Linked DNA regions of Mus musculus. The protein of the gene in region 5 interacts with the protein of the main gene of each other region in a biochemical or structural test. Links are inferred from orthologs where the notes say so. Each region holds a gene or a part of one and is shown on either strand. Other genes may lie near its edges.

What was found.
Region 1: the proteins of Lef1 (region 5) and Smad3 form a complex in vitro, tested with the Homo sapiens proteins (2 studies listed by BioGRID, with this or other methods). The link is inferred for Mus musculus from reciprocal best matches to the Homo sapiens genes LEF1 and SMAD3.
Region 2: the proteins of Lef1 (region 5) and Tle1 form a complex in vitro, tested with the Homo sapiens proteins (2 studies listed by BioGRID and IntAct, with this or other methods). The link is inferred for Mus musculus from reciprocal best matches to the Homo sapiens genes LEF1 and TLE1.
Region 3: of the proteins of Lef1 (region 5) and Nlk, one has a biochemical effect on the other in vitro, tested with the Homo sapiens proteins (4 studies listed by BioGRID). The link is inferred for Mus musculus from reciprocal best matches to the Homo sapiens genes LEF1 and NLK.
Region 4: the proteins of Lef1 (region 5) and Mitf form a complex in vitro, tested with the Homo sapiens proteins (2 studies listed by BioGRID). The link is inferred for Mus musculus from reciprocal best matches to the Homo sapiens genes LEF1 and MITF.

The regions. Positions count from the first base shown.
Region 1 is NC_000075.6:63,667,495-63,670,994, forward strand, and holds part of Smad3 (mothers against decapentaplegic homolog 3), read right to left. Parts: intron 429-3,500; coding exon 235-428; intron 113-234; coding exon 1-112. UniProt on the Homo sapiens protein: Receptor-regulated SMAD (R-SMAD) that is an intracellular signal transducer and transcriptional modulator activated by TGF-beta (transforming growth factor) and activin type 1 receptor kinases.
Region 2 is NC_000070.6:72,138,394-72,141,893, forward strand, and holds part of Tle1 (transducin-like enhancer protein 1), read right to left. Parts: intron 3,488-3,500; coding exon 3,434-3,487; intron 2,921-3,433; coding exon 2,768-2,920; intron 1,441-2,767; coding exon 1,296-1,440; intron 671-1,295; coding exon of another isoform or gene 569-670; intron 296-568; coding exon 99-295; intron 1-98. UniProt on the Homo sapiens protein: Transcriptional corepressor that binds to a number of transcription factors. Inhibits NF-kappa-B-regulated gene expression. Inhibits the transcriptional activation mediated by FOXA2, and by CTNNB1 and TCF family members in Wnt signaling.
Region 3 is NC_000077.6:78,582,426-78,585,925, reverse strand, and holds part of Nlk (serine/threonine-protein kinase NLK), read left to right. Parts: intron 1-317; exon of another isoform or gene 318-783; intron 784-2,501; coding exon 2,502-2,603; intron 2,604-3,500. UniProt on the Homo sapiens protein: Serine/threonine-protein kinase that regulates a number of transcription factors with key roles in cell fate determination. Positive effector of the non-canonical Wnt signaling pathway, acting downstream of WNT5A, MAP3K7/TAK1 and HIPK2.
Region 4 is NC_000072.6:97,992,058-97,995,557, reverse strand, and holds part of Mitf (microphthalmia-associated transcription factor), read right to left. Parts: intron 2,432-3,500; coding exon 2,204-2,431; intron 1,178-2,203; coding exon 1,094-1,177; intron 1-1,093. UniProt on the Homo sapiens protein: Transcription factor that acts as a master regulator of melanocyte survival and differentiation as well as melanosome biogenesis.
Region 5 is NC_000069.6:131,108,750-131,113,207, reverse strand, and holds the start of Lef1 (lymphoid enhancer-binding factor 1), read right to left. Parts: upstream 2,912-4,458; 5' UTR 1,737-2,911; coding exon 1,530-1,736; intron 982-1,529; exon of another isoform or gene 397-981; coding exon of another isoform or gene 388-396; intron 1-387. UniProt on the Homo sapiens protein: Transcription factor that binds DNA in a sequence-specific manner. Participates in the Wnt signaling pathway. Activates transcription of target genes in the presence of CTNNB1 and EP300.

The DNA of each region.
Region 1 (3,500 bases), on a different chromosome or scaffold from region 5:
TCAATGCCAGCAGGGAAGTTAGTGTTCTCGGGAATGGAATGGCTGTAGTCATCCAGTGGGGGGAACTCGGCCGGGATCTCGGTGTGGCGTGGCACCAACACTGGAGGTAGAACTGTCCCCAAGAGAGACACAACAGAGGTGGATCAGTGCCAGCGCACTGAGGTCCCAGCCCCAAGGGCTTCTGAGACCCTCCTGAGTAGGTAGGAGGGGGAGGGCAGGGACACACTCACACACCTGGCGTCTCTACTCTCTGATAGTGGTAAGGATTTACACACACTTCATCCTTCTTCATGTTGAAGGCAAACTCACAGAGCTCCATGGCCCGTAATTCATGGTGGCTGTGCAGGTCGGGCCATCGCCACAGGCGGCAGTAGATAACGTGAGGGAGCCCCTTCCGATGGGACACCTGCAGCCGACCATCCAGTGACCTGCCATGGCAAAGAAGGAACAGAAAGTGTCAGTTAAGTAGATTTGGACTGCCGTCTCCTAAGTCCAGCTCCCAGCAGCTCCTGGGGAGTTCAAGGCTGCTGGCAGGCCCATTTGCGTTCATTTCTCCCCTAGACACAGGGGACCAGGAGGTCTGAGCACCACTGTTAACTGTTCTTGCTGAACAGGGTCCCAGCTCCCAAAAGAAACAAGGAGGCCCACTAAGGAAGGCTGAGGTCCCCTAGGCTGGAAGAGAGGCTCTTGTACCCAATAGGCTCCAGGGTTCTCAGAGTAGCAGCTCTCAAGGAAGGGGACCTTCTTGAACTAAGCCTAAGTAGATATACATGCCACCAGTCTGGCCCCGTAGAGGAGACTGCTGAACAGGGTGGAAGCCAAGTATAAGACTACAAAAGGAAGCTGAATGGCCTGGAGAGCTGACCTGGCAGGGAGTCCTACTTTTCTCTGAAAGCAAAAAATGGCCTCTTAGATGTTGAATGGACTGTGTACGTGTACACATGTGAGCACAACAGGCCCTACAATAAGTCTGGCTGTGTGGGGTCCACAGGTTGGGAGGCGGTGGGGTGGCGAGTATAGATTAGGAGAAGCAAGACTGTCCTTTCTACAAGAAAGCTGTTCTAGGAGCCCAGGGTTGAGGGCATGATGTTTTTTAGTAGCTGGGCCAGACTAGCAGAGGGCCACTGAAAGCTGTCCCTCTGTCCCTATGGCACGTATGGGTCTGAATTCAACAGATTTTATGAGTACTTTATAATAGAGGGGCTGGCCAGATGTGTCAACCAGAGCCAACCAGGGTCCAAATAATCTCCAAGCTACTGGCTTGGAATAGGGAGGGACAAAGGTCAGTGCTAGGCCTGGTCACAGGGACTGAGAGCTGCTGACTAAGGACTTGTGGAAGGATGTAATTACCTCCCTCCCATGAGGCCCAGACCAAGGAGCCCCTACAGCTGAAAACAGTAATTACAGAGCTGAACAAGAGAGGACAGCCTGAAACTAGCCCTTGAGGCACAGGAGGAAGGCAGCCAGATGTGAAATCCTAAGACCTGAAGATGCTCCTGACTATGCAAGCCTGGGCACTAGGACCCTCAACTGCCCCATGTGTAAGATGGGGACAGTCTCCCCTCACCTGATCTCTACTAGAAAGCACTTTGCAGAGCACCACCTGGGGAGAAATCCTCTCAGTGTTACCGGTGACTGCTGTTATTCTCTAAGCCAGCCCTAGGCAAGCGGGGGCTGAGTTGGGGTCAAAGAAGAGGCAACAAGAGAGTGGTTCGTAGTAGATGGAGACAAAATCCTTCAGCTCCCCTCACTTTCTTTACCGAAGTCCCCAAAGATAAGGGAGGTGGCCACACTGTCCCTCCAGGGTATGACATAAGCCTCAACACAAGGTTAGCTGGATGCTGTGGCCACCTCTCTGATGGGAAAGAGGGGGACAGGAGAGAAATGGCCAGAGAAGGGCCATGCCAGCCATGAGGAAGAGTGGAGCTGGAGAGTCCCTCCTGGGCACTGGGAGGGGTATCCTCTTGCTTTCAAAGTAACAACGGGTGCTAGGGAGACGATCCACTTAGCAAAGTACCTGCGTTGCGAGTGTAAGAACACAAGGAGTTCTGTCTCCAGAACCCATGTGAGAAGAGCTGGCTTGGGTAGTGCACAGAGGAGGCGGGACAGCCAGATCCCTGCCTAGCCTATATGGTGAGACCAAGGTCAATGAGACCCTGTCCCAAAGAATAAAAACAAAGTGGATGGCACCTGAGGAACAGCAGCCAAAGCTACCTTCTGGCAGCCACAGACATTCGAACATGTGCCTAGGTCCCTGCACACATCAGCATACCTGCACACACACAAACCCACACAAGTACACATATACATGCACAAAGACAAACAGTAGATGGAAAAAAAAAAAAGCAAGAGTGCTTCCATCATCAAAGTAGTGTGCCGACATCCTCAAAACTGACCATGACACCAATAAGACCCAACAAAGACCGTCACATATACATGGGACATTGACTTGTATCGAAAGTCCAAAGACACACCAGCAGGGACGGGTTAATCCTTTAGCAGGTGGTGCTGAGCCTCCTGAAGATCCACACTAAGAAAAATGAACTTCAACCTGCACCTTACACCTCTGTAGAAACTAAGGGTCAAAGAATAAATCTCAAACCATTGAGGAACTCTGTGACCAGACAGTGATTTCTCAGCTGCTCCACCAAAAACACTGTCCGTAAAAGTCAAAGTTGACATATCGATACAATGGGACTCAGGAGAGAGGCTTCTGATCGGTATAAAACTTGGACAAAAAGAGAGGTAACAAGTCAGAGGAGAACACCGGCAAAGAATATATCTCACAGAGGTCCTTTCTAGGATAAAGAATGCCAAAAGCAACCCAACATTCAAATAGCAGGTGATTCCCTTAATCAAATGCTAGTTTAAAAAGTTAAAGATGGCAAAGATGTTCTATGTCATTACTAAGAAGGAAAGCGTGGATTAAATCGAAGGGACAGGAGAGATGTCTCCACAGTTAAAAGCACGTGCTGTTCTTGCAGAGGAGCAAAGTTGGTTCCCAGCACCCACACAGAGGTTCACAAGCATCCGTAACTCTAGTCCCAGAGTCTCTGGTGCCTTTTTCTGACCTCCTCAGGCACTGGGCACACACATGGTACACAGACATAAATAAATGCAGGCAAAATACCCATATACATAAAGCAAAACGTAACTATATACAATGAGATGCCACCATATGACCATCAGAACAGCTGTAATTTAAAAGGACCGTGTGTGCCACGTGCTGGCAATGGTGTGGAGCAACCAGAACTCTTAAACATCACGCATGGAAAACAGTGATACAATGGCTCTGAGAGACAACTAGGGAGTTTCCTTAAAAGTCCAAAGCAAAAGCTTGCTGTAATAGTTTCTTTTTCAGTTGCTGTGATTAAATACTCTGACCAAAACTGTGATGGTCAGTCTCAACTGTCGATCTGATGAACCTAGAAGAACCTGGGAGATGGGTCTCTGTGATGTCTGCGGAGGATTATCCCAATCAGGTTCACTGAGATAAGGAG
Region 2 (3,500 bases), on a different chromosome or scaffold from region 5:
TGTATACCCAGAACCTCACTGCCTGAGTACTACACACCTTGGGCCCTGAACCCTTTGGGTTGCCTAGTCCCTGGGGCACACCCAAGCACATGACCTACCATTGGGGAGCGCCCATAGGCCACCACAGCAGCAGCAGCTGCAGCAGCTGCAGCGCTCATCTGTGGAGACATGCTGTGTAGACCTGCATAGGCAGCACCAGGGCTGGTCAGCTCTCCGTTCATGCCCGCATGGGGCACCATGCCAAAGGGGGCAGGGTATGGGCCAGGCACCGCCAGGGGCGTCCTCAGGCCAGCTGCTGCAAGGAAACATGCCATGTATGATGAGACTGACTATCATGCCAAACCTGACCAATGATTCTAGTCATTAGTTATGATGATGGGCAGGGCTTCAGGGGATAGCAATCATGATCCCCAATCTAGACACAAGGTCCATTCCTCAAGGACAGAAAGCACAACCCCCAAATTTCCTCATTGGCAAAGCAGCCGCACCAGGAAGCCAGGAGGATTAATCAACATCTTTGCACTCAATTCATAAAGGGCAAGCCAAGGTACAGAGTCTGCGTGTTTACCTGACTTAATCTCAAAAGAAGACTTTCTGGATAAAATCCAAGATTTCTCCTTGAGTCCGAACTTTCCACTCCCTGGTACCAATTCCAAATGAAAACCAAATCCTGGATTTATGCAAACCAGAGCAAGGCTTTAGGAAGGGGATTCTGGTGCCTAATTCCCCTGGACTCAGGCTGCTACTTTTTAGCTTGTCCAATGAGGAAGATCAAATTCAAAGTTATGAGTGACCTCATGGGCTAGAGTATTAGCAAAACCTCCCAACTTCCTGACTCCTGAAGATGTAGCAAAAAACAAAACAAAACAAAACAAGACAAACAAACAAAACCCAGTCATCTATAGGCGGCAAAATGTATACACTGGCTACAAAATCAGCCACTTTGGTTGGCTGGTTGGTTGGTTGGTTGGTTGACAAGGGGCTTAATATTAGCAACATCAGTCAGACATACAATGACAGACTTGTAAGATTATGTTTGGAATAATATGAGGAACTTTACTGTAACCATTGGATTTGGACTATTTTTAAATAAAAGAGAAGCTGAATGTAAACTTCTGGAGAGTAACTGGTGCAGCTGCTGGGATCCAGGACAAATGTGCTTGCTCCCATGCCTTTCCAGACAGGAGAATAGTGCCAAGTGCTTCACATTCAGGGGCAAACTGTCAGGAGATTAGCAGACAGCACATCAAGCTGGGACAGAAGAAACAAAGCACAGTAGGGGAAGGGGTGCTGACCTGCTTGGTTGACAAGGGGTTCCATGGCTGGAGGCTTGCCAAGACCTGGACGGAGGCCTGGAGTAGCGCTGGTGCCTGGGGTTGGCATGTCGCTCCGAGGCGTCGGTGTGCTGGATTTCAGAACAGGAGTGTTGGCTTTTTCATGCTGGTATCATTAAACAAATTAAATGAGTATTATTTTTAATCCAAGCCATATTACACAATTTATCACAACAGCAGCTGGGGCACTGGGCACCTTCTAGCAACACCCTAGCCAATTTTCATAAATCCACACAATGTCGACAGCATTAACTTGTGAGTGAGAAATGTTGACCTTTCATCTTCCTGCCAGATTAAAACTCGAGCCGGAGACACACAGAGCATGATCCTCCACAAATTTTATTTTACAACAAGTTTTCCATGAAGCTTGTGAACTTCGGGTCTTCGCTGGGTGAGAAAGATGACCACAGGGAGATTCTTTCCAAGTCACTGGGAAGGGCCTACCTGGCTACAATCTCCAAAGTGGAAACCTTTTCTCAGCCTCACCTTTTGGGGACTCAGACTGATGGTGACAGACAGTGGAACTACCAATTACTTTAGAAGCAAACCAGCACTTCAGAAATAAAGTTCCTGAAGTACCCTTCCCACACTGCTCTTCTCTATGGCTACCTAGCTAATGAAGACCCATCCGTGCACACAGGAGACTTATCACCTGTTGGCAACCTTTATAACTTGAGACAGTAATTCCATAAAAAGGGTATCTTCTTTTATCTCTCAACTCCTGTGTCCCTAGAACACTGCTCAAGAAGGACCAGGGTGTAGAAAACAGAGTGAGCCAAAACTCCCAGCTCTGGCTTAGGATTTGATAGAATGTTCTCAACAAGTTACTCAGGTTTTGCTTTACTCTATTTGCATAAAGCGATAACCCTGAGGTCACCAAAGTAAAGACTTGCTTTGAGGTAGTCTCACAATGTAAGACAGACTTGACCTCTATCCCAAGAGCTTCCTTCCTGCCAGATCCTCCAAAATATAGGCACTACAGGCAAGCACTACCATCCGAAGTTATAAAAGATTCAGTGGTTTAAGGACCACATGAATGGGCTATGATGAATGGGCTCTGAAGATCCCATGTCTCCTGTGTACATGCCAACGAGGATGGGATATGCACAATGGCTTAGTTTACCCCATAAACAGGAGCTTAGCAAAATCAAGATTCCTTGTGAGTTATTCACTACCACTTATTGAGTGTCACAGAGCTGAGTCATGACCATGTATAAGGAGAAAAACGATGCACACAGAAACTTCCACACCCACTCTAATTGTGCTCTGAGAGACAAATGAGATAAAGGGGAACAGTAAATAGGACAGCAAGTGTTTTAACACTTGAACACAAAAGCTTTAAGCAGCAAAATCCCCACTTCACACACTTCAGGATCCCATGTTCCACAAAGGAAATGGCAGTGTCACCCAGAAAAAAAGCAGCTCCTACCTACCAGGCTCACTTCTTTGGATTTCAGGGAAGAGGAACTTCCAGAGGAGGCTGTGGATGCCGGGCTACCTGAAGCATCTTTCTTCAGCAGACGGTTTTTGTCAATTCCGTTTTCCCGGGGTGAGTGTGTGGGGCTTGCATGTGGAGAAGAAGGGTCCTCAACACACAATAACAAGTTGACATGTTTTAGCTCAGAATGAACATACTTTTTCATACTCTCAACTAAAGGATAATACTGAAAATCTTTTAGATTTGAGGAGTGTAATGCTCACTAAATGAACAAAATGGTATTTATAAAACACCCAGAACCATATCATAAGAAAAACAATCATCTTTCTACCAATACCCAGGAACATCCTCTAGCCAGACATCAACCACAGAAATTAAAATGACTTAGGAAGCAGATTTTTCTTTCTGGGGGGCTGGGGATCAAACAGAGTTGGCGCCAATGGTAGACAAACACTCATGAACTGAGGTCCATTCCCAAACCTCATGTTTTGAAAGGGAAATTACAGCTTTAGTTAGGTTATGAGTACCCATTTTTAAGCATCCATTACATTCTTGATACATGAAGGTATAAGACTCAGCTAACGTGACTCAACTCCACTCACTTACAACTGGACTTTTCTCAACACTAGTCAAGAAAATCCTTCACGAAAAACACTGTTACCTCGTTAGACACATCCACAACTAAGTTGTCATCACTCTTGTCCCCATCACTGTCCTAGAAAAAAATT
Region 3 (3,500 bases), on a different chromosome or scaffold from region 5:
AGAGAGAGAGAGAGAGAGAGAGAGAGAGAGAGAGAGAGAGAGAAAAGAAAAGAAAGGAAGGAAGAGGAGGAAGAAGGAGAAAGGGGTTGGGAGAGCTGCAGCGATGGAGATAGCTTATTAGTGTTAATACGACTTGCTATTCTTCCAGAAGACCTGAATTTGGTTTCTAGCATCCATGTCTGATGGTTCATAGTTGCCTATGACTTAAGCTCTGAGGAATCTAACTGCACTGACCTTAAGGAGTCTTGCATTCAAGTGCACACACACAGACTACACACAGACAGTTAAAAATAATTTTTAGGTGGGGCCTGAGGGGTCCTTTTGCTAGCACCAGAACAGTTGCTGGAGAGTTCAACCGCCAGCTTAAAAGATGCCACCGAAGGGGAAAAGTAGTTCTGGAAAAGGAGGGAAAGGAGGTGCAGCCTCTGGGAGTGACAGTGCTGACAAGAAGTCTCAGGGTCCTAAAGGTGGTGGCAATGCAGTAAAGGTCAGACACAGTCTGTGTGAAAAACATGGGAAAATCATGGAAGCCATGGAAAAGTTAAAGTCTGGGATGAGATTCAGTGAAGTGGCCACACAATATAGTGAAGATAAAGCCAGACAAGGGGTGACTTGGGTTGGATGACCAGAGGATCCATGGTGGGGCCATTTCAAGAAGCAGCGTTTGCCTTGCCTGTAAGTGGGATGGATAAGCCTGTGTTTACAGACCCACCAGTTAAGACAAAATTTGGATATCATATTATTATGGTTGAAGGGAGAAAATAAAATCACATGAAAGACTGAAAAAATAATAATAATTTTTAGGTTTAAAAACAAAGTGAGCATTGGTGGCATATGCCTTGAGTCCTTGTACTTGGGAGGCAGAGGCAGTGGATCTTTATGAGTTTGAAGCTAACCTGGTCTACATAAAAATGTCCAGGAAGGATAGCCAGGGCTGTATAGTGAAACCATATATTTTTTTTCTCCATAAAATATACTTTTTATTTTTTTTTTTAAGGTGGCATCTTAGTGTTAAGAGCACTGATTGCAGCTATGTGACAATTGACAACTGTCCAAGGGAGTTCTGACACTCTCTTCTGGTCTTCAGGCAGTACACTGACTGCATGCACTTGTTGCACAGACATACATGCAGACAAAAATACTCATAAAAATAACTCTTAGAATAACTTTTAGATAATAAGTTTTAGAGAAAAAAAACATGTGGAGCTAAGTGTGGTATCTCAGCACTTGAGAAAGTAGGGGATCTTTGTAACAGGTTCTAACAAAGTCTACAAGTCTGAGCTTTCCAGCTTTACATAACCACTAGGAACTCATCTATTTATCATCAGTGTGGGGTAATAATTGTCACAGGAAACATGTTTTATATGGAGATAGTCTAACTTCTATGTGGATGTAGTTATTTTCGCTTGCATTTTCTGTCTTTGAGAAATGAGTGAGCTGGCACTGAACTGCAGCAGACTCTCTCAAAGTGTTCCTCTTCCATAGATCGGTCCCGTGTTAGTCTACAGGTGTCCACTGAGTACTCAAGTTCTTCTGCTTTCAGGGTGGTTGTTAGAGCCCTGACAGTGTCTTAGCCACACTTCCCTCAGAAAGGGTCCAGAGATCTGAACCTCAGGGGAAAGCCAGTTTCTCAGGCGCTCCCATCACTGGAACACCAGTGCTGAGAGCTGCCCCGTAGTTAGATAAGGCCAGGAAGTGGTGTCCTCTGAGCATGAATTTCCCATCCTAGGGAGATCCAAATGAAATGTTGCTGTTAATTAGGTTATAGAGTCAGAACAGTTTGAGCACCAAAAAATTGGTGAAGTGGTTTGCTACCTACAAAGACTTGTTCATAGGAAGACCATTCTATCAGTCTCCTTATCATGCCCAGCTCGATAAATGTGGCCTCATGTGGCATCATGGATTTCTAAGTTCCACAGTTTTCTGTCAGTGTAAGAGATTTCTAGAATGTAAAAGATATGTGCTGGTCTAAACACTGAGTGCTTACCTTTTATTTCAAGAGTGAATGCTTTGGGTATTTATTGCACTACATGTATCTGATGTGTAGATTAGCCCCTTGAAGAGCTTGGATCCATTTGAAGCATTAAAATTGATTCGTTTACTGTTTGAAAAGAATAGTCTTTAGACACTACCTGCAAGATTATAAATGCTGTGGTTTTGAAGCAGTGGGGTCTAGAGATGTAACGCCAGAGTTACTCTAGTGTAAGAGCTCTATGATCTCCGTGAAATGGAGCCCAACTGGCCATAAACTCACAATCCCGTCTTAGCCTCCTAAGTGGTAGAATAACAGGTATGTACCACCTAACCTGATTTTTAAAAAAAATAGGCCAGAAAGTAAAAGAAAGAGTTCTTATCAGAGCTTCCTTGAAGATGTTGTAGTTGTTCTAAGGTTAAAAAAAAAAAAAGTGGCATTCATTTTCATTTCTAAGGCTGCAACTTAAGTCTAATGAAAACGCCATTCTGTGATCTCCTGTCAACCTGTATTTCATGTTCTCTTGCAGTTGGATTTGATCACAGATCTGTTGGGCACACCATCACTGGAAGCAATGAGGACAGCTTGTGAAGGTGCTAAGGCACACATACTCAGGGGTCCTCATAAACAGGTAAAGAGGGGAAGTCTGTCTCTGGCAGCTGGCCCCAAGGGAAGAATTTCTATCCCAGAGATGTTGCTTACAGGTTTTAGATATATATATATTCATGGACACATAGACACAAACAGATATCCTACAAGTAAGATCACTGTTATGTGTATATGACCATAAATAGTAAATGGCATGTGGCCATGCCCAGTACTATAGGAGAAATGCGTGTTTTTATAGCGCCATTGCTTATCAGTGACAGGTGACCTCTTGGTGTTACCAGTATGTGGGAGGAAGCTCTGACTTAAGTGCATGTGAGTCAAGATACCAGCTCCAAACACTAAGCCCAAATAACGGTCGGTGTCTCTTTGCCTTGCAAGGATGCAAAGCAGTTGCTGTTACTCTTAGCACTAGCGTCACATTAGACCCCATTGTGGTCAGCAGTATAAAGAAGGGCTGCCCGATTCTTACTAATCAATATGACTTGCAACCTGCCAGATCACTGCTGAGAAAGCTGGGGTGCTTTTTATCTGCTCTCTTGATTAAGCAGTGTTCCCTGCAAGCACTATCCTAACCCCCTTTAGAGGAAAGTTAATGATGTGAAGAGTGAGTGAGGGAGGAGAATGCTTTTCCTAGACACAAGAAACAAGCAGAACCAGGAAGGCTTGAGCAGGACTAGCAAGGCCGGCCTCCTCAGCCAAGGCTACACAGGAGGCAGGAAGGAAGGTTCTCAGACACTGGCTCAGGCCAGGGAGGAGAGACAGATGCTTGTGGGTTTTTATTCATATTTGTTTGCTTATTTTTGAGACAGGGCTCTGGTTATCTTTAACTCACTGTGTAGAGCAAGTTGGATCAAATTCACAGCAGCCCACCTGGTTAAGCTTATATTTAAAGAGCCTCCTTGTGGGTATATCCTTCAGT
Region 4 (3,500 bases), on a different chromosome or scaffold from region 5:
GGCACCCCTGTGTTCATGTGTACCTCCCATTAAAGAGGTGAGACTCCAGCATTATGCGCATTGGGTTCAAATCTAGTTTCACCCTCTTCCTGGATCAAGGGCAACGCCTCCAGTCTTCAGAAATCTCAGTATGCCAATCTACGCAATGGGGACAATAGCATATATTGTCTCACTGGGGACAGATGAGATTTCAGGAGAAACCTTCCAAAATGCTCAGAAAATTGGAATATACTATAACGTCTGATCTAAAGAATGAGTCATAGCAAGTGATTTCTCTAAAAAATAACTGGTGGTCAGGTTTGAATAGAGCTAGTATACTTCATGTTAGTTTTCGTTCCTGGCATATCAGCTTATTTATTTGCAATACATGGCTTTTTGACTGGGTTGATGAATAAGAAAATAGGCTGGAGACATATAAACCACTTTTCTTTATAAATTTTGACTTTAGTTTTAGGGGAACAAAATTAGTGTCCTTAATGTATCATTAAAATAGTATATACTTTAGCATATATATAAAGGCAAAGAAACCATTTTGTTGTTTGTATTATATTCTATCCCATACATCTGAATAAGCACATAAATACATAAATAAATGCTTCCATTTATTCGCTAAATAGAATTTAAATAATGATCTTCAGATCCTTGGGGAAGTGCTTGTGAGCTATTATTAGCTTACTGAAGCTTCATAATACAGAGAACAGGAGGTTCCATTTAGAAAACAATGCAGAGATTGGCACAGCTTGGTTTCAAAAATATATCTTAGAAGGCTGGTACAATGCTATACAAAAGGTGCTGGAGATTTATGCACATTAACTAAATCATCCTGCATTTTTTACGACAATCTATGGATATTTCCCTCTCCGTATGACTGTGGGAAACTTAAAGGGTACACATATTTAATCTTCTTAGTTGTTACCTAGTCATTCATGAGTTACTATGAAGAAAATAGGTCTGTTCATAGATCCTTCTATCAAAAAAGTATCAATGGGAGGAAAGGAGGTCCTGAAGTCATCAGGAGCTGCGATCATTCACAAATATAGATTCTCACTCATTATCAAGTGTTACATCCTTGGCCTGCCCGGCCATTCAGTACCTGCATGCACGACGCTCGAGAGTGCGTGTTCATACCTGGGCACTCACTCTCTGCCCTGCTCTGCTCCTCAAACTTATAAAATGCCTGCAGAAACAGAAGCAGAGACAGTCCATGACTCGGATTTGCAAACGCCTTTCAGCAACACATTCACAGGATGTTAGTGCCATAGCAATGTGATGGATGGAACTCTCAAACAAGCAGATGCTAACCAAGGAGCACAATAATGGTGGGAGACATGGGTGAAGCATATGGCAGATATGGGTGGATAAGAAGTATGTGCTTTGGTAGAGGCCAGATTAGAGACAAGACTCCAACCCTCACGCTAGTTTTTGTATCAAAATTTGGAGCATAAATTGGACAGGGGTGCTGCTGTGATTCAGTGTCTGATATTCCCAAATTATGAGAACTCGAGTCTCGTTTTAGTAAGGTCCTACTAAGTATGGAAGTGTTAATGTGAGTTCACAAGTGACTGTCACACAACTTTTGGGTTATTTCAGTCACCAGAGGGACTAAGTCTTTGTCCCTCTGCCCAGACCAGTGTCACCAGGCAGCCATTCATTTTGAGACCGACTGGATGCTGTAATAAGCCTTGATCTTTCTTTAAAAGCCTCATATGCCATACCATTCAAATCCACCCATACCTGCTCCATGTTTTTTCTTTCTCCAACTCCATGAAACATAAAAATAATATCCCAGACATTCACAGCAAGCAGAGCTCCTAAGCCTCCTGCCGCCGCACGCCTTTTCTATTTTTGCTTTCCCTTTCCACTTTCCCCTTCTCCTGTCTGTATGTTCGCTGCTTCACAAATTGGAAGGCATAGAAGGGAAGAAAACACTCATCTAAGGACGGTGATGGGAGTTACGGAAGCATCCTCGCCTCCACGTTCTGCTTAGAGCAAGTCAGGTCTCCTGTCGTGTGCAATAAACCCAGTAACCTAGTCTTCGTGACCGAAGGCTGAAATATAAACGGTCACACCAGTAGATCTAGGACAGAGGTTGGTGACAATGACCAGGTGGACAAAAGACAGTCCATTGCTAAGGGCGAGAGGAGTATCCCACAGACAGTTAATGGAATGTAAGAAACAGAGGAGAAGAGGAGACGTGAATTACCTCTTTTTCACAGTTGGAGTTAAGAGTGAGCATAGCCATAGGGCTGTTGGGTGCGCTGCTCCCCGGCACTGGTGGCATGGCATGGTCGCCAGGCTGGTTTGGACATGGTGAGCTCAGGACTTGGCTGGCATGTTTATTTGCTAAAGTGGTAGAAAGGTACTGCTTTACCTGGTGCCTCTGAGCTTGCTGTATGTGGTACTTGGTGGGGTTTTCCAGGTGGGTCTGCACCTGAGCATGGCCGTGGAGGGAAGAGAAGATAGCAGTGTTATTCGGGGCTTTCAGGTAGCTTTTCCTGTAGCATAGATTGTGAGACTGACCAGTTGACCAACAGAACAGATTATCAATCCCCTGTAAGGTACTGGCCATTGTGCTAATAATAATAATAATAATAATAATAATAGTAAAATAATTGATAGTACTGAAGCTGAGAATCTAAATTGCAGGATTTAGAGCTCTTAGAATCCAGGGTACTAACTATCCTGTTTAACGTCCCTGATAATTAAGTATACATTTAATTCTATCCTAGTGCCCTTCTTCTTATGGCTAATTATTAAATTTGCAAGTATCTATGAGGCGAAAATCTCCCCAACACAAAAATCAAAACAACAAACTTGAAAACGCACAACTCTGTTTTATCTTGTTTTCCTTGGCAAATAGAATAGCTTTCTGTTAAAATGTATGTGCATGTACAAAAACACACAATCATGCACACACTCCCCACCCACACACACACTCAGAATCACACTCACAGAAACACACACACACACAGAGACAAATCTATATACAAACACACACAAAATCCTTAAGTACTGACTAAAATTATCATAGAAATAATCAGAAATATTGCCATGTTTAAATCAAGGAATTACTGGTTACTTCCTTTCATATATAAAAATATTATTCAGGATTTTAATTATGAATGAGCTCTATGGAGAAAGCAATTCTACACAAAGCAGTTACATTCAAGTCTATATCACTTGTATGTAAGAGTTTTTAAAGGCTTACTTATTGACAAACCAGCACAGTATTTGCTGTCGTTTTCCATCAACACTAACAGGGAATTAGAAATGCTTTTTTAAAAAAAAATAAGCAAAATCAATGACATTTGATTTAAAGTTACTTTTCACTGACAAACACAATTTTATCTTATCCACTCTAAACAAGAGCTGCTCGGGAGAAAGCAGTTACCTACTGGGGAAAGAAATCTTCCTGCTATTTACTATGTCTAAAGCTATAGTAAATTACTTCTTAGGGCATCAGAAAATAAATAGCATTAAAGGAGCAGATCTGTCCTTAT
Region 5 (4,458 bases):
CGGGGCTCTCTGCTCGCCCCACTTCCACCGCGGAAAGATGAACAGTTCAAACACCCAACCCCGGTAGTTGACAGTCTCCTAAGCATGGCTTTTCTCCTCAGACTACAAAACCGTAGAAATGTGAGGTGGATTGAAATGTGTAAACTACTCCAGTAGAAAGAAAGAGGCTACTCTACAGTCTGGTCAAGAATGAAACAAACAAAAATAAAAAACCACCAGAGTTTAGATGGTATTTCAATCCCTCGTCCGGAGACCCTTTTTACCTGACTTTTAATGCATTCTCGCCCCCTTCCTCTATTTTTTTTTGGGGGGGGGTAGGACTTTGGGACTAGAGAGGGTCCTTATATTTTGGAATCAGCCCCCCAGCCTTCCCAGATGCGTACTCACCCCTGCCATCGGGACAGAGAAGGTAACTCTGAGGTGTTCTTAAAAGCACTCTTTAAACCCAAAATGTCCCCGCCCCCGAAACCACCCTTTCTTTGGGTTGGGGGTGGGGGCAGAAAGTTGCCATTTAAGGAAAAGGCTATACTCTCCAAGTTTCTCTGGAAGGAAAAAACGTTGGGCACATCATTTGGGTATCAGAACTTTTCTACTGGATGCCCCCGTGAGGTTTCCTCAGCTGCTGAGACAGAGTGGCCGCTAAGGTGTGGGCTGTGGGGATCTACGCCCATCCGATGCTCGCGCGCGGCCGGGCTCCCCGCTCCCTCGCGCCGGCACCCACGTGTCTCTATTTACTCTACTCGGGTTACCAGCGCCGTCGCCTTCAGCTGGCCCGGAGATCTGATAAAGCGCGTCCCTCCTCCCTAGCCGCCGCCCGGCTTCCGCCGAGGGCTCGCCTTTCTTCTGCAGAGATCCAGGGCCTGATCCCAACCCAGCCTAACCCCAAATAAACGCTTTTCTTTCCACTTTAAACGCCGGGGTTGCGGGCGGAAGGACTGCGGTATCGGTGCCGTTGGCTGGCTCGGATCGGCTCGCCCACGGCTCCCGGCAGCAGCCTCTCCTGCTGTGGGGACCCGGCCCCGCAACGCCCCCGCAGTTAGGGCGCGCGCCCCGGCTCCACGGCGGTTGGGACGGCCCCTTCTGCGAGGCCCACGCCCGCCTCTCCTTCCTCCCGCCTGGGGCTTCGCTCCTTGGAGCCCTCGGTGGTTTAACGCACTTCTGTGCACTGTACCGAGAGAGCTAGCGGATGCACTTTGTTTTCCACCCCATGATAGACTTCACAGTTGTGTTTAGACATCCCTGTTTTAATGCACCGCGTCCCTCAGAGCCACCGAAACGTCGGAGGACGAAACCGGTCCGGTATAGGCCAGCGTTTCCTGCCCATTTGCCACCGTTTAGCCATAGAAACACTTGGGATAAATTTCCCTGCCCGCTGCTCACACACGTGCGCACCATGGACTAGGGGCCGTTATTCCCCACCCAGCCCGCGAGGGACCAGGGCTCAATGGCCACCGTGGTCGCGCACCCTGCTTGCTTCCCCTCCGCTTCCCCGGGACCCGCCACGCCTCTCCGGACAGCTGCCCACTCACCTCATGCCCGTTGCTGGCTGGGATGATTTCGGACTCGTTAACCAAAGATGACTTGATGTCGGCTAAGTCGCCCTCCTCTTCGGGATGACTGATCTCGGCGAAGATCTTCTCCTTCTGGGGATCGCCTTCGTCCTTGAAGGGGATCATCTCATCGGTGGCGCAGAGTTCCGGGTCCCCCCCGCCGCCTCCTCCGGAAAGTTGGGGCATCCCGGCGGCTGTGTAATCTCCGCTCCGCTGCGGGAGCACTCCGAGACAGCAAGAAGGGAGGGTCGATGTGAGGTGGGGGAGTTGGAAGACTGAGTGCGGGAGGACTGTGAATGGAAGCCGGGTGGGCAAGCGAGGGGCCCACGGCTGGAGCAGCTGCAGGAGCCTCTGCGATTGCCGCGCTTTCCCACTTAGAAGGACGCCGGCGCCCGGCCCTGGGGCGAAGGGCACCAGACTGCGAGGGCGGCAGCCGCCGGCGCCTCTGAGAGCGTCTACGCCGCTCCGCGTGCACTAGGCTAGGCTGCCAGGGCTGGGTGGCCACCCCACGCCGCACTCGTTGCTGGGGTCTGTGCTTCGAGGACACCGGTTCCGGAGGGGACACGACTTGCCAAAGTGCAAACGAGGGTCCCGTGGTGCGTCACCGTGCAAAACCTCTCCACGGATTCCTCGGATGCTGATTTCGGTGATTTGGGGTTTTGTTTTGTTTTGTTTTTGAGAAGAGGAGAGCTGGGCCAAGAGGCTCCCTTTGCCCCAGCGGAGGTACGAGAAGAATCAGAAAATACCGAAAAGTCCACTTCCTTCAGAGTAAACAATAAAGAGCCACCGGGCTGCAGACGTCCGCGTTAGAGCTTCTTTCCTTCCCTTTCGCTTCGGTTTTCCTTCTGGAGGAGCATTTAATCTGCTGGAGGGGGAGGGGCGGAGGAGGAGGGGAGAAAAAGAGAAGTTTGCCAAGAATAAAGTTTGTGATGATGAGCGCTGGGAATCGGCGGTGGCTGGCACGGCGGAGTCTTGGGGAGTCACAGCAGGAGCTTCGGGCCCAAATGTTCCAGCCCGCAGCTCGGGCCGATACACACACTTACACACACACACACACACACACACACACACACACACTCGAGCCCGATCCCTCTTTGTTCCCGGCTCGAGTTTCTGCCTGGCTCGCCTCTCTCCCCGCCTCCCCTCGGTCAAAGCAAAGAGCTGCCGGTGGCCCCTCGGCTCCTCCGGGCAGACCGGCCGGGGAACACCCGGAGCGTAGCCGCTTGCAAGGCTCCGGGAATGTCCGAATGCCAGGGCCCACGAAAGCGCAGCCCGGTCCCTCCGGTGCGCGCTGCCCCGCAGGTGAGCGGTTGCGCCTTCCCACCGCTTCTCCTCGCCGCGCCTAGCCGGCGCTGCAAAGCTATTCACTTGCGTCGCTTCTCCTCCCCCGCCCCTCCCCCGCCTCCTGCTCTCCTTGGCTGCCTGCTGGAGGGGTGGGGAGGAGGGAGTCTGTTAGGAGGAGGAGGAGATCCAGGTTCTCTCCCCCCCCCCCCAGCCCTAGTTCATTTCCTAGCACCCAAAGGACGAGTCATACTTGGGGGGGGGGGGCGCCGTGGGGGTGCGTATGTGTTTGCGCCCGCCTGTTCATGCCTGGGGGGGGGGGGACGACACCATACAACCTGAAGATAGACTGGGTGCTGTGTGTAACCCAACCCCAAAGAACAGTGTGGCCCACGTGAAAATTGACGAGAAACTACGGGAATGGCTTAACTTCATCATCTGAGCATCTCTTCTTCTCTTGCCGACCCCACCCCACCCCGCCCCCGGCGCCTCACTTCTAGTCCTTTGCCAGTCTTTCTTCAACCTCCTTCCCGCCGCCCACTCTAGCCCCCTCACTCAGGCAAGGGGAGGAAGATGAAAGAGAAAGCCGCTGGCGCTGTGGTCGACACCACATTGATAGATGCTCTGACAGAGGGAATAAGGCGAGAATTAGGGACTAGGGGAAGGAAAAGGAGAAAATGTAACACATTGCTCACCTAACCAGAGAGAAGAGATTCAGCAAAGGCAAACAGAAGAGTTGTGACTCTACTAACCGTGAATCACACACACTTCGGAGACAAGGGCACACCACCCTAGCGAAAATAAAATCTCCAGGCTTACCAGGGGGGAAGGATCAGTAAGAAGGGTGTGGATGAAGACTGAGCCTTAAATATCGCTTCTACGCTATCACATTCATTGTGCCTTTATCACCGAATGAACGTGGGTTTTTGGAGATTCTCGACTCAGCGTGTAGAGACCTCGTAGAAAAAGGAAAATACATCCCAAAAGGAGGGAGAAGAACAACCTAGGAGAGGCAGGCAGCACTGGGCAGTTGCTGACATCCTGGAGACTCCGCTGAAAGGGACCTTTAAAGGATGGATGTAAATACGAATCAAACCTCAAAAATTCTCCGGTTCCCACTGTCTCCTTGGTGCATTTTGGACAGGACTTTTAAGGGCGACGCTTTGTGAAAGTCACTGTGTAAGTGGGGCTTAAGTTTGGAAACACATTGTCTTTTAGCTCTCAACCCCTCCCCTCAAGTCAAATATTCAGGCAAAATCATTAGACCAGTGAGGCAGCCATCTGTAGAACCTGGGAGCAGTAAACAGGAAGAATTGTATCTCCATCTTACTTAAATGGAAAATAAGACTCCAACGAATCGTGTGTTGGTTTCATTACATAAGAACGCTTAGGACAAGAGCTCTCTTTTAAAGGTGAAAGTGTGGGCTATTGGGCATTGTAGACTTTAACAGTTCTTTAAGTCAGCATTTAAAACTTTGCTTACTGATAACTACCAGTTTGGGAGCTGGCTAGGAGGTGGATATATATATATATATATATATATATATATATATATATATATGTTTGAAATATATGTATAGTTTGGTTTGCTGCATAGGACGTGGTTGGTCATATGTAATCTGATAGA